Linked DNA regions of Schizosaccharomyces pombe. The gene in region 2 interacts genetically with the main gene of each other region. Each region holds a gene or a part of one and is shown on either strand. Other genes may lie near its edges.

Evidence for each region.
Region 1: of spk1 (region 2) and sla1, changing one suppresses a phenotype caused by changing the other (phenotypic suppression), as found in Schizosaccharomyces pombe (one study listed by BioGRID).

What each region holds. Positions count from the first base shown.
Region 1 is NC_003424.3:1,381,908-1,385,474, reverse strand, and holds sla1 (La-motif domain-containing protein), read left to right. Parts: upstream 1-1,926; 5' UTR 1,927-1,961; coding exon 1,962-2,175; exon of another isoform or gene 2,176-2,250; coding exon 2,251-2,933; 3' UTR 2,934-3,067; downstream 3,068-3,567. Other genes in the region: disulfide relay system thiol oxidase subunit Mia40, read left to right, coding at 389-683, 752-1,398.
Region 2 is NC_003424.3:2,999,792-3,003,549, reverse strand, and holds the start of spk1 (MAP kinase Spk1), read left to right. Parts: upstream 1-2,031; 5' UTR 2,032-2,581; coding exon 2,582-3,700; 3' UTR 3,701-3,706; coding exon of another isoform or gene 3,707-3,758. Other genes in the region: RNA polymerase I termination factor, Myb family Eta2, read right to left, coding at 1-1,493; hem4 (uroporphyrinogen-III synthase Ups), read right to left, coding at 3,707-3,758. UniProt on the Schizosaccharomyces pombe protein: Involved in mating signal transduction pathway.

The DNA of each region.
Region 1 (3,567 bases), 1.6 Mb from region 2:
TTCAGTGTCGTTTACTGGTACATTATTATAGTAAAAATTTAACATATTATAGAAAATAATACTCACGTTCTTCTAATTAAATATTATAAATGAATTACCTTTTGTTTTGCATACCTAAGTTTGCTTGTGAAACTATTATGTCGCTAGTTTAATTCTATTATGAAATTAGTCATTCAGGCATTTCTTAGTAATCTCGTAAATCCTGCCAGTCTTGCTTGTCTTACATTTGTGAATACCTATTTACTTAAATCTGATTTAAAAAACATGCAAACTTATATAAACTTAGAATGAATGACAAAGTTACGTTCTTGTAAGATCGTCGCCGCTTTCTGACCATTACGCAGACATTAGAAGTTCAGAGCTCAACTTCCCATAAATCAAAAAAACCATGTTTGCTAAAAACTTACTTTTCAGATTTCCAAAATGTATAAGGATTAACGGTTACAATAATATGAGAAGGTCTCTACTGCAGAGAAATGGATTTCAAGCAGGCATTTGTCGAAAATTTGGTACTGCAACCAAAACTGATGTATGGAAAGGCCGTTTTTTGCCTATTGTATCTGGCGTTGCAGCTGCTTCTTTGACTGCTGGATATTTACTTGGAAAAAACACTTCAAATGCATCATCGAGTCAAGATAATGACCATCCTGTTGTAGGCGAACATGTCCATACGGAAACACAATGTAAGTATCATATGTTTGAAATGGCTATCTTTTTCTGTACGATTATATGAATTTAACTAACAATATAGCGTATAATGAACCATATATGCAGCGACACCGAATTGAAGATGCCATTGAGAAGAAAATGACAAGTGAAACACAACCTTCGACTGACGAGAAAGGCCGCAAGGTCAGCGCTACTGAGAATAGTGCACCGAAGAAAACTGATAAGGAAAAATCCAGCGGGGAGACAGCTGGAAATATACTTCGAGAACAAATAGCCACTGGTAAAGATGATGATGAATATGCTAGGAAATTTGAGGAAGTGGAGGAGGAGAGCAGCGAGGAGTCAGCATTTAATCCGGATACTGGAGAGATTAACTGGGATTGTCCCTGTCTTGGAGGTATGGCTCATGGTCCATGTGGAGAAGAATTCAAAGCAGCTTTTAGTTGCTTCGTTTATTCCAAGAGTGAACCAAAAGGTATGGAATGTCTTGACAAATTTCAAGCTATGCAGGCTTGTTTTCAAAAACACCCCGAAATTTATCAAGATATGGTAGGGGAGTCTGAAGAGGAAGACGCCGAAACTAATGAGAAACCATCGACTACATCTGACGAAAATAATCAACCACAATCTCCACCCTCCGATAATGCATCTAATCCTGAAGAAGACGTTATGAACATGGAGAAAGAAATTGTTAATCTTACACCTATGTCAGTTATAAAGGAAATTTAAAATTTTCGAGGCGCTCCGTTTACTATTTAAAATCCTTCAACAATATGAAATTGAAATTATTCAATTAAAGCATTTGATAGTGATCTCGTAACGAACATATAATGACTCCAACAAATGGAGTAAGTTTAAAGTATTAATGTCTTACATCGGTTTTAATAGTTAGCGGTTCTACAATAAAGTGGATATTAAATGATAATTCGAATGGGGAATCTTGATATTATAGGTTATATTGCAATTGTCGGTAAAGAATCATAAATAGGAAAACTAAAAGCTACTGCTTGTCATTATGGTTAAATTGTATCCAGAGCTACATTGTAAGGAGCAATCTCTGTTAATCTTTTCAAAAAAAAAAACAATGGAAATTCATGGGATTATTCTATCTATTATAAATCTATTATGAATAAACTACTTCTTTTTTAAGTGCCAACTTTTAACATTGTCTTCATGAGTAGGAAAATAATGTCAGTTCGATAATAGGGTAGGGTTAGAAATGCTTCTAGGAGAGGAATCCAACTTCTTATGAAATTTGCCCTTTGCCTGTCTCTCTACGAATAATTAACATCATGTCAACTGAAGAACAGAAGGAAGAAATTAAGGACATCTCATCTAAGCAGGAGAATTCTTCAGAGGTTCCCAAGGCCGAGGAAGCTGGAAAAGTAGTAGAAAGTCAAAAAGATACTACTAGTGAAGAAAAAAAGGAGGAAACTACTGAAAAGAAGGAAGATGATGGAAAAAAAGATTTATCTTTTGATGAAGCTGAAGTTTTAAAGCAAGTTGGTATGTTACACACTTTGTTTACGTTGGATTAAAACCTTTTTTGTGTTGAGTGGTCGTTACTAACAGTATGAATAGAATTTTATTTTTCGGACACCAACTTACCCCATGATAAATTTTTATGGACTACTTCTCAAAAAAATGATGGATGGGTTCCCATTCAAACAATTGCTAATTTCAAACGTATGCGTCGTTTTCAGCCTTTGGAAGCCATTGTAAATGCTCTTCGCAAGAGTCCTGAACTTCTTGAAGTCGATGAAGCTGGCGAAAAAGTACGTCGTATGATTCCTCTAGTTCGTGTAGACAACAAGAGCGTCATGGAAAGAAGTGTCTACTGCAAAGGTTTCGGTGATGAAAAAGATGACACTCAAATTGCTTTGGAAAAATTCTTTGAAGAAAATGCTGGTCCCATTAGTGCTGTCCGTATGAGAAGGGATGACGATAAAAAATTTAAGGGAAGCGTATTTGTTGAATTCAAGGAACCCGATGTTGCTAATAAATTTCTTGAGAAAGTCAAAACTGCACCTTTGAAATGGGGCGAGGACGAGCTCACTATAATGAGCAAAAAGGAGTATGTTGACATGAAAGCTGAATTACATAAAAACGATCCACCAAAGTTTAGCAGCAAACGCAGACGTTTTGACGCTTTTAAAGAGATGGATCGTCAGCGTCCTGGTAAATATAGTAACAGAGGAAGAAAATTTAAGAAGCAAAGGTCATCTAACGCTTCTGAAGAGAAGCCTTCGGCCGCTTCGGAGTAAAATGGATTAATTTTGTTTGTTTGTTTGTTTTACAAATACTTCAAAGACACTGGACAAATAAACTTTTTCGGATTGGTTATATTAGGAATTTTGGATGAATAAATAGTCGTTTCATGCAGTTATTTTGTACAATATGACCTCGTAATTTAATGCTTAAATCGTAACAATATTCGGCTATAAGTTTTGCTATACGAATTTTAAAGGTTTTGAATAATAGCAATAGTTTTTTGCTTCATCACTTATAATGTATCGTACTGAATATTTTAAATTTCACATGAGTTAATATTAAGTCCTATTTCTTTACCAGTACGACCAAGCTTGCATTTCAGAAGTTCTCAGTGGAATTTGCAATGATCAGAATTGACTGAATTAAGAACTTGTATATTTCTGGTGGATATCAACCATACAAGAATCAACTTTAACAGTAAAAATAAAAAAATATCAACCTTAGAACCATGCGTCTTTCACATATTTCCGACTGCACAGTCAACATAGGTTTACAGTTCTCGATTGCTTGACTGGGCTACGCTATCGATCCTACACATCAATATGTTCTTCAGAATACAAAATATAGTGAAGCAAAAATAGTTGACCTTCCTATAGCTTAATTATAACTGAGACATTGCTTAAGCTA
Region 2 (3,758 bases):
AGTTTTAAACTATCCGCGACGTAAAATTTGCGTTTACCCTTTGATTTCTTCTTTTTTCTCTTCTTCCTTTTCTTCCCTTGATCCTCCTCTTGACGTTGGTTAGAAGAATAAGATGCGATTGTTTTTTCGTACTGTTTTCGACAGCTTTCCGGCGACTTAGTCCCAAGCTTCTTCGATATGCTATGCCATGCAATGGAATCAGATGCCGGTATTTCCCGTTGTATGTTTGAAGTAGTGTGATTATTGTGTGTGAAAAGGCTTGTCATTTTTTTTGTGTGAAAAGACGACCGGTAAGAAGACTTTACCAAGTCTAATAGCTTTGCTTCCTCTTCATTCGTCCATAATTTGCGCCGATCAATTGTTTCCTGAGTACTAGTACCTACAACAAACCTCCATTGACTCATGCACGCGGCAGGTGACGTTCCCAGTTTGTTCGCTATGCTGTTCCACCGCGTTCCCTCTTGTTCAACTAGGGTGTACAGCTTTTTTAGCTCACTTTCCTCCCATGCATTCCTATCTTTCGGATCCAACGGCTTGTAGATTTCCTTCAAATAACGAATAATTCCTTTTCTTGAAATAGAAGTAGGCAGCAATTCGCGTAGTTCGTTGTATAGAAAGTTGATATTTGTATGTCTTAAGCTTGAAGAACTCATCCGGAAGCCAAACTCTTGTAAATCTACGCCTTCATTATTACAATAAGACAAAACTACTTTTTGAATCACTTGTGCGTCTTCTAGAGAAAAATTAAGTTGCGAATCCTCTTCAGCAGCCAAGCTTCCAATGTCTATCTTTTCGTAACCGGCGACTTGAAAAAAAGCACGCATGTACTTTAGTAAACTATTTTCTTTTCGATTCAGAAAAGATGCTACTGACTCTAAAAACCCTTGAAGTCGACTCCCAGCATGTTCGTCTTCCAATATCTCGATCATTTGCTCCCGTGATATAGACCGAATCGTTAACAATTCATCAATCCTTGCTTGAAACCACTTTTCATGCTCCTCTGTCCATGCATCCTTTCTTTTCTTTGCATTGAAAGAGTTTGTGCTTTCAACTTTGCTTTCAGAATCGTCAGAAGAGGATCGCGCAATTTTACGCTTTGATGCATGATCACTACATGTTTTGACAACGACAGAGGAAAGTGGACTATTTTCCAATAACTGTCGTGTAGCTTCCATACAATCTTTATGGTCATCTGACACAGGCTCACTAGTTCCTCCTAAGGAGTGAGCACGTGAAGGCTTATGTATAAGTGACCCCATTTCAAACTCAAACTCATTATCTTCATCAAATTCGTAAACATCTTTTCTTTTCATAGATTTCATTAAACTTCCAGGCCGAGATTTATTATTAGTGATATTGAAGGTATTGTGATCTGTAAACATAACGTCTCTTTCTTGCATTGCACCCTTACTGCTACATGAAAGTGTAGGACTTTCCAAATTTGAGCGTGTTCCCTGGTTTTCATTTATTGTCATGTCGATAGCTAACATCATTAATTTACAATGCCTTCTAATAACGGGTTAGCCAATTCATGATGAAGTAAGGACGCCAAGGGAAATTTATGAATGTTTAACTATTTTTGTTTGAGAGTTTCAACGGATTTATCTATTTTTTTTCATGCTTTTTAAACTTTCATAAGATTATTATTACGAGAACATAAAATTAAACAACCATCATACGGTTTCTGTTCAACCTCTTCAAGAACCCATTCAAATATCCTTGCATAACCAATTGTTTCTGCTTACCTTGTAAATTAATTATTTCGATTTAGATAGTCTTAAAATATTGCATTTCTTTGCCTTTAATTTCTGTCGTGGTAGATGGAAGGTTTGTAAGTTAGTGTAAACAAAGAATATGCGCGACGCGTCGCGCACTTAAAATGTGTGTTACTTTTTTGATTTCATGTCACTCATCGTTTCTTTATTCTGTCTAAAGATTCGTATCTATGAAGTTTCTGGGGCAATACATTAACAAAGAAACTTTCTTTGTTATTGTAAGTTATAAATGTTGACTAGTCCAACCACACTACTTAACAATTACCAACAGCTTTTCAACAGTTTTGGAAGGGCAATTGAGAAATTGCTAGAGACGGTTTTGAAGGACGCTTTTGCAATTCCCTCAAGGCATCTTTGCTTGGCAATATTTGAAGCATCATTTTTTTATTGAATAACCATTGTGGGCCTTTAATCTCAATTGCGAAGATACATTTGTCTGGTTTTTTGAAATTCTTCCCTTTTACGATTTTTGTATATTTTCTATTTCTTTTGTTATTCCTATATTTTATAAGCTTGCAACCTAATATTTGTATTATTGTTGCTAGCGCCTGTTTTTGAAGTGCTGCCGAACGTCCTTCTTTCGCATTATTTAATTTAATACTAAACTAATTTGATAAAGGGATTTCTAATACATCCTTGTCTATTTCTGTCTTTGGCTGGCAAACCGACTTTTTTCAATATTGTCGGATTTAAAGCACAAAGGATTGCATAACATAATTTATTACAAAGAACGTTGTAATTCTTTTTAATTCTATTTATCTATTCATATCGCTTCATTTCTTTCAAGTTTTTCAATTTGTAGTCTAATGGCGAGCGCTACTTCCACGCCTACTATTGCGGATGGGAATTCCAACAAGGAGTCAGTAGCTACAAGTCGAAGCCCACACACGCATGATCTAAACTTTGAGCTACCAGAGGAATACGAAATGATCAATCTCATCGGTCAAGGTGCTTATGGAGTTGTATGTGCCGCGCTTCACAAACCCAGCGGCCTAAAGGTGGCTGTTAAAAAAATACATCCTTTCAATCATCCTGTGTTTTGTCTAAGAACTTTAAGGGAAATCAAGTTACTCAGACATTTTCGTCATGAAAATATAATTTCAATTCTAGACATCCTTCCACCACCGAGCTACCAGGAATTGGAAGATGTTTATATTGTACAAGAGCTTATGGAAACGGATTTGTACCGTGTTATACGTTCGCAGCCCTTAAGCGATGATCATTGTCAATACTTTACGTATCAAATTTTGCGCGCTCTGAAAGCCATGCATAGTGCTGGAGTTGTTCATAGAGACCTGAAGCCATCAAACTTACTACTAAATGCCAATTGTGATCTCAAAGTTGCCGATTTCGGTTTGGCACGTTCCACCACAGCTCAAGGCGGAAATCCTGGCTTTATGACTGAGTATGTCGCAACTCGTTGGTATCGAGCACCGGAAATTATGCTGAGTTTCCGAGAATACAGCAAAGCTATTGATTTATGGAGTACTGGTTGTATACTTGCTGAGATGCTTTCTGCTCGACCATTGTTCCCAGGAAAGGACTATCATAGTCAAATTACTTTAATCCTTAACATTCTAGGAACGCCTACTATGGACGATTTTTCAAGAATTAAATCTGCACGTGCGAGGAAATATATTAAAAGTCTTCCATTTACTCCTAAAGTATCATTCAAAGCACTCTTTCCTCAGGCATCACCAGATGCTATTGACCTTTTAGAAAAATTACTGACATTTAATCCTGATAAGCGTATAACTGCAGAAGAGGCTCTAAAGCACCCGTATGTAGCTGCTTATCATGATGCCAGTGATGAGCCTACAGCATCCCCCATGCCTCCCAACCTCGTCGATTTATACTGTAACAAAGAAGATCTCGAAATACCGGTATTGAAGGCCTTAATATTTCGTGAAGTAAATTTCAGATAAAAAGCTTCAACTAGAATTCTCCTCATCAAAGGCAACTATGCTGGATGCCAAGCTCTCT